Linked DNA regions of Caenorhabditis elegans. The protein of the gene in region 1 purifies or fractionates together with the protein of each later gene. This does not show direct contact. Each region holds a gene or a part of one and is shown on either strand. Other genes may lie near its edges.

The links. The genes of interacting proteins can lie anywhere in the genome.
Region 2: the proteins of ncr-2 (region 1) and nas-15 fractionate together in Caenorhabditis elegans (co-fractionation; one large-scale study listed by BioGRID). This does not show direct contact.

What each region holds. Positions count from the first base shown.
Region 1 is NC_003281.10:8,256,336-8,260,090, forward strand, and holds the start of ncr-2 (NPC intracellular cholesterol transporter 1 homolog 2), read left to right. Parts: upstream 1-2,009; coding exon 2,010-2,160; intron 2,161-2,383; coding exon 2,384-2,874; intron 2,875-2,935; coding exon 2,936-3,058; intron 3,059-3,189; coding exon 3,190-3,402; intron 3,403-3,450; coding exon 3,451-3,617; intron 3,618-3,665; coding exon 3,666-3,747; intron 3,748-3,755. Other genes in the region: F09G8.5 (leucine-rich repeat domain-containing protein), read left to right, coding at 46-174, 222-504, 906-1,008, 1,053-1,250. UniProt on the Caenorhabditis elegans protein: Involved in the uptake or utilization of cholesterol. Ncr-1 and ncr-2 act redundantly to prevent dauer larva formation under favorable growth conditions, and are required for the normal functioning of ADF, ASI and ASG neurons.
Region 2 is NC_003284.9:775,580-779,334, reverse strand, and holds the start of nas-15 (Zinc metalloproteinase nas-15), read right to left. Parts: upstream 1,615-3,755; 5' UTR 1,602-1,614; coding exon 1,497-1,601; intron 1,426-1,496; coding exon 1,261-1,425; intron 1,215-1,260; coding exon 1,066-1,214; intron 855-1,065; coding exon 718-854; intron 670-717; coding exon 301-669; intron 244-300; coding exon 67-243; intron 15-66; coding exon 1-14. UniProt on the Caenorhabditis elegans protein: Metalloprotease.

The DNA of each region.
Region 1 (3,755 bases):
TCGAAAGCTGAAGCTCTCCAAAAACTTTAAACTTCAGTTTTTCAGCTGTAACGACAACTGATCATCAGGAAGCCATTGAGGACAGTATTCCAGAATGTGATATGCATAATTCTCATTACAGTGCAAGATCGAACAGATCGAATAGTATTGATTTGATGAGTAGATCTCTCTATGGTGAGTGTCTGTTTGTTTAATGTTTAATCGTCTTTCTTGTATTACAGTAGGCCCAACAGTAGTCGATAGAATTGTTCAACCTCAACTTCTACACTTTGGGGATACTTCAGATGAAGAAAGAACAACATATCCAGCTAGATCATTTTCTGTAGAAGTTCCCGGTTTACCGCTTACAGAAGATCATACAACTGTCTATTTGGATAGTGCTCCACAATCTCACATAGGGTCAAGACACAATTTGATGTCTCAATCTATGTATGGAACACTTTGTGGCACGTTAGCAGAGGAACCAAGTTCAGCTGATGGAGAAGATGATTGGAATGATTTTAGGTATTATTCTGTTTGAAAACTTTTATTATTTTCGTGATCTTTTCAAAAGTGGAGTATGAGAAATTTTGAGAAATGCATTGCTGCCCTAACATGTTCGAATACAAATATTTAAAACATTATAAAAATATAAAAATCACAGAAAAATAATTTAGATTGGTACAATGTATATCTGTACTTTTTTGAGTAGATATAAACCTTTTTTGTTCCTTTTCTAGCTCAATTTTCCAAACACAAAAGTGGTCTCTACCAACCGTTAGGCATGTAGATAGGCCGACGGGCATGAGGTAGGTGTGTTTGACAATGTGCCTACCTACATGGGACCCAAAAAAAACCAAAAAAAAAACGAATCAAAAAACAAAATTTGACTTTAATTTAAATCAATATACATTCTATATTTTTAGCATAGAAGAAGATCGAGTTATGGTTCAAATGCCTCTAGCAGCTTCTCACAGAATGTACCAAAGTATGCATGAGGGAATGGTTATAGAAATGAAACGACCACCTGTAAGTGATTTCCTTTGCTTAATGTGAGCATAAAGTATCTTCAGGTATACGGTAGAAGTGTGAGCATGCCACGCCGGCGAGCAACAAATCTCACAACGCGAGCAAGTTCAATGAGCCCCGCAAGAGAGCAGAGACTCACAAAGATAATGTCAGCAGTTTCGGTTTTACTTGATGAACTTGACACTGATGGTCTTCGGCAGGTTGTTGATGAAGCACAGAGAAGACTCAAGAAGCAAAGATAATTTCACATTATTGTTGAAATAGAAGTTTATGGATTCTATAAATATTTGATTCTTGAAAATTTTCACGAATTGTAAGAAAACTGTTTTAAAACAAACCAATCTGCACAATCCTTTCCCTTTGAACATAAAAGTTTAATAAAAACTACAGAAAAAATTAATTATGAAAAGAACGTTTAATGAAATTTGATTCTTTAAAAAATAAAGTGTGATTAGAAATACAACTTGAAATGTTTCCCTTCTTTACAGACTGAATTCCCATGAAACATATTGCATCTATTGTATATAAAGGTCAAGAAACAATTGTTTCTTTCATTTTAGCTTCATTTCAGCTCCCTCCGATAAGTTTTTCATATGCTACTTCGTTTCATTCTACAGACATAGATCGAGAAAAAAACAGTGCATTTGTCTGTGACTTGTAAACAACGTGACTCACGAGCCTTGTCTCGCGCGTACAAGCAGGAAATACAACATATGTGAATTGTGAATCTAATTGAATCAAATTTATGAGATTTTTTATTTTTATTTTCTTCTTTATTCTATCTTTTTGTGTTCTGCTATAATGTACAGTTCGTAAAAGTAGTTACGTGGAAATTAAATTAATTCTAGGTCACGCGATTCGTGTTCCACAAAACACCACATTTCTCAGCAACTTTCAATCACGTGTTGTCCCTGTCTTTTTATTTTTTATAAATTTAATGTTTGTCTTATAATTTAATTAATCTGATTTAGTATTTAATATTAAATTTCTACATTTCCGGAATGCGTCAAGGAGGAGGAGGAGGCGAGAGAATGGTATCTGTCCTATTCTTATTGCTAATACATTTGGCATTGTGCCAAGCAAAATGTGTGATGACGGAATGTGACGGAGAGGAGGATAGCAACCATCCACCATGCAAGACTAACAAGTCAAGTGAGTTTTTTAGATTTTAGATTTTTCTGTCTTTTGAGTAACTGGAGCCTAGTTGGCAACATCCACTTTTCGTTGTGGAACTTTTTTTTTCAACTTAAGCCCAAATTTGATTCAATATCTTATGGTTTTAGGGAGCTTCAGTAAGTGTGGTGAGTGGTGTAGACTAGGACTTTGAAATAATTTCTAATATTACCGAAAAATGCCTTTAATTAATTTTTTCCAGCATATCTACCAATCACCGTGACACGGTCTCTAAATCCAACTTATATGGCTCGATTCGAAAAGTACTGCTCGTATCTTGTACAGGAAGAGGATAAAGCTCAAGTCTGCTGTACAGAACTGCAATTAAAAGGAATGACTGATCGAATTTCTAATGCTGCTACAATCCTTGGATCTTGTCCCAGTTGCTTCGACAATTTTGCAAAACTCTGGTGTCAATTCACTTGTTCCCCAGATCAATCAAAATTCATGAAGGTAATGGAAACGACTGGTCCGAAAAATGTCGTGGTTAAAATGGAGTTCAAAGTGAATCGAGATTTTGTGGAGGGATTGTACGAGTCATGCCGTCATACGTGGTTTGCCAATGGACTTGCTCTTCGATTGATGTCTCTTGGTGGAAAAGTCTCTTTTGAAAACTTTTATGGATTTATGGGAACGAAGAATCTTGCACAGAGTATTCCAATAAACACCGAGTTTCAGTTTTCTCGAATGAAAGTTAGTCGTTCAAAAAAAAGAAAAAGAAAAGAAGAGTATTTAGTAACGCAGTTGGTTTCAGAACGCAATGAATATTCCAACAACACCATGTCACAAATCAGCTGGCCCCAAAGTTCCAGCTTGTGGAGCTATTGATTGTCCAACAAATGCCCATCAACTTGTAGATATCTCCAAAGTTGAACATGTAAGTAGTGAATCAATTCAGCATATTTAAAGGTTATCAAAGCCTTTCCGTTTCCTCACTCACTCCGTCGGAATGCATAGAGGCGCACTTTGATTCCTCAACCGGATCAAGTGTTATAAAGTAATTTTCAGCTCGGAACGAAAGTGTTCCATCCTCACTTCCCAGACTTTGAATGGTTACTGAAAATCTGCGGATGCCTCGCACTTACAGTCCTCCTGGTCTTCATTCTTAAATATTCTTGTCATAGACGATCAGCGCCTAATGGTGAAGATGGATGTTACGTGGATTTGGGAAAAGGAAATTTGGAAGTTCAATTTGAAGGACTTTGTGCTCGATATGCAAATGTTAGTTAGATCCCCCTAGTAATACAAATAAATTCCAGTAATTGTCAGGCTGTAATTAAACATCCATTGATATTTGTTTCACTTGGACTTATTGTAGCTGCAGCTTGTTGCTCTGGAAATTTCAAATTTCACAGTCTCACGCATTCAGTTGATCAAGTTTCGGCTGCCGATGGAGAAACTAGACGGAACGAGAAAAAATTCATCCATTCTTTCGGGTTAGTTTATATTTTTCCCCATTTTTTTCAAAGATTTTACTAGTTCAGACCTAATCATCGAATTGAGCAAATATTCATCAACTTACCACCTACCACTAAGTCTATGTTCAACATGCCACTTTTTGAAGAAGTGAGCTG
Region 2 (3,755 bases), on another chromosome or scaffold:
TCTGATGCACCATCCTGAAAAAAAAACACATTTTCAGGTTTTTTTCAAAGTTTATTTTCAGCGAACCTTGTTTAGCAAGGTCATCACAATCTCCTCTAAGATTTCTGCACTCGCTTGGCTTCAATGGGACGGCTGGGGAAACTGTTTGAATGACTGGCGGCTTTCCGGTTGTTATAACAACTGGCTTCACAGTGATAACGATTGGTCCCGATGTTGGAGCGGAGGTGGTTGGTTTTTCTCCTTCTGAAAATGTTACATTTAACTTCTTGAATAAGTTAATGAGAATTGATGTAAACATACCAACTGGACATCCATAAAGAGTGTTGATCTTAAATTTGTCAACTTTTGAGAACCCATTTCTCTGTCCAATAGTGGCTCCATTCTTCTTAGGAATCATAGTTGGTTGTCCATTTCTCGAGAAAGCCTTTGTTCCATAATGCATAATACTTCCGTAATCATAACCAGTACCCAATGACTGAATAGTCCCGTGGCCGTACTTCTCGAACTGTCCCTGCATTCCTGCTTGAATATTGTTCCACATAATTGTGATATGATCGTCACGATCAGTTCGGGATTGTTCGTGGAAAAAACCAACGGCGTGCATCAACTCGTGAAGAATGATTCCTTTTTGAATACAACCAGAACCAAGTGATAGCGATTGCTTTCCTCCTTAACAGTTTGTGATTAGTCGCTAAGAAATATATTTCTAGTTCATACCCATCTTTCCCACCATCGAGTAACATCCTCTGTCTGGGTAGATGTGGACGTAGTTGACATCAGCTGCCTCTTTTGGAACCCATCTGATGCAAGTATGTGATGCATACTCTTGCATAGACGCAGCTATCAGAGAACGACTGCAAAAAATAAATTGTTGATCTTTGTTGTTTGATTTTCAAGTTTCTGGACAATCTCTCAAACTGTACTCCACAAAAGGCGCGCATCAAATTTCATGTTTTCTCTGTGATTGTTTGCTCTTTGCTAATACAAAAAAGTACCAATAGAATTGTCTGGCTTGACCGGATGCGACACTTGAAAAGATCGTCTTATGATCTTAGAAATACGAACCTGTAAGAGCTGTATTGAGACGAAATCGTGTATGGGATTCTGCCCTCTGGCCAAAGTTGAAGTCGGTTTTTGATAGCGTTATACCACTTTCCGTCTTCAGACTTTCCGGAGCCACCATTCGCAAAAAGCTCAGCAGTAGAAGCATTGAGCTGGAAACAAAAATTTTTTATCGGATCCTTTAAGGAAAGAACTAACATTATCATTAGCGATATCTCCTTCAAATCTGTCTTTGCTGTACATGGCATCCGAATCCCAGATGTCGTCGCCGTTGTCGTGAGCCATTGCAGCGGTGATGCGAGTTCCGAGCTCAAAGTCTTCTGGGGTGAGCACAGTTTCATATTCAGAGTGGGAACGGTCAAACTGGAAAATCAGTAAAATTAAAATTTAAAAAATTTTTCAGAATAATAAGCTATCAGCAACAACCAACTTACAAAGTTTTCATCGTTCAGAGGTGGCAGCTCTGGTGGAATATCATATGGACCCAAGATGGCTGCAAAAACTGGGGCTACTAGAAATATCAGCACGTATTCTCTCATTGTGCACCGATACCTGGAAGAAAAAGAAAAAGTATTGCAAATGCATGATTCAATACAAGTGAGGAAATAGGAAGAATGAAAACACAATAAAAATGAAAGGAATATGCTCAGCGAGCACTGGACAGGCAGATCGAACCTTCAGGAAAACAGAGAAATGGCACTGAACAAACATTTGTTCGCCCTTTTTATATTTCTAAGCGTGATGAGAAGAAACGAAATCCGAGGGCTAAGAACGAAATTTAAATTGAATCAACTGTTCAAGATGACCACCATGTTCGGTTCGCGCAAAAGGAGCCGCCTAATAAAGGGGGAAAGGGTGAGCAATGAATGAGAGTCCCCCTTTGATTCTCCGGTTTTTTGCTCTTTTTCCAGTTTTTCTGGTCTCTAGCCATTATCGTAGCACCCCGCTGTCCGTCTCGGTGTGTGTGTGTGTGTGTGTGTGTGTGTGTGTTTGTTTTGAAATGAGCCAACAAAAAAGTGCGTTTCGCAGTGGTCACTACACCTGGACGAACAATTGTTGACGGACGACGGGGAGGAAGGACACTGCCAAATAGATGAAAAAACTTGGGAAACACAACGGAAAATCCGTGTCGTCTAAGGTTTGCCCGGAGGTTTTTTTTCGGCCATTTTTTAATGTCTAGGCAGTCTAGGTAGGTTTCTAGGCAGGTAGGTTTTAATGTCTAGGTACAGTGTAGTTTTAACATATTTTAGCTAAATTGGTATCTATTTTTTTGCTCTACATATATTTGCATATCTCAGTTTGAAAAAGTTCACATTTTATAAAACCATTTAAAAATTGAGAAGTATTTTTGAAACTAGTAAAATTTACTGAAAATAACTTAAAAAGGATAGTGCCAGAGTATCCCATTATGGTTTGATCTACGTAGATCTACAAAAAATGCGGGTAATGATACGCAGAGGTCTCACCTGATTTTGCATGGTGTACAAGTGCTGACGTCACATTTTTCTGAGCGAAACATTCCCGCATTTTTCGTAGATCAAACCGTAATAGGACAGCCTGACACCACGTGGGATAGGAGATAACAAGAAAATTTTTAATGCGGTTTACTTAAGAAAAATTATTTTATTTATGAATTGAAAGTGCTTGCTGAAAGAATTTTAGTAATAGTCTCTAGAATCGAAACATTTGCAATCTTAGTTTTGCTTTAAAGAACGAGAACATTACAAAACCGCATACTGTTTATAGATACTAGTGGTATCTCAAAAAACAAATATTTGTCAGTTTAGTATTAATATAATTCAAAATTAAATTACATTTTTTAAATAATATACATGTTTTAAATAAAAGCATCATAAGAACTAAGATGTGGCTCTATTATAATATTTGTTACAAATGATAGATAACTTCTAGTATTTCAAATTGAAAAAAAAACGTTCACCAGAAATAAATAAATTGATAAGATGCGGCTCCTGGACCTTCAGATAATGCAAGAATGAACGGTGAGTGCCACTTTTTAGCTTGCTCAATGAAGGAGGCACAAGGATAAGGTAGTCTTATGGGCGGTCCGCACTTCATGTCATGTCTATATTTGGTAGGCTAGTTGCTCCGGGTGGAAAATAAAGAACATGGCGTGTCGAACTGCGCGCCGGGTCGCGAGGATGAGCCTCCATTTTCTCTATTCTCCGGCTCGGTTATCAGTCTAATCACTCGAAATCACGATTCACTGCCCGTCTTTGGGTCACCACGGACTAGCAACTAAAAAACACACATATGTCGTCGCTATCGTCGCTGCTCGACCCCCCGAGTGATTGGAAGTGACAGGAAGAAACTACAGATAACGCGAGGGAAGAGAGAAGCGTTGCTGCGCGGCAAAAAAAAGCCAAGACATGGATGCACTTTTAAAGATTCTTTTGATCTTTCCACTTTTTATATTTTATGATTTTTTAGAATTTTAGAAAAAACCCGAAACTAAAAAATAAATCAACTTCATTCAAGAATAAGGATGAAGTAGTTGATTTGCAAATACAAACTTAGCAAGAGATTTTAAGTACTCCTGGTCATAAGTGAAAGTATAATTAATTCGGAATATGGGAACAGTTATTCAGTTTATCAATTGAAAATTTGGGTCATTGAAAATTTGGTAGTGTTATTGTTAGTGTTATTATAACCAGTATTATTATTTTTAAATAAAC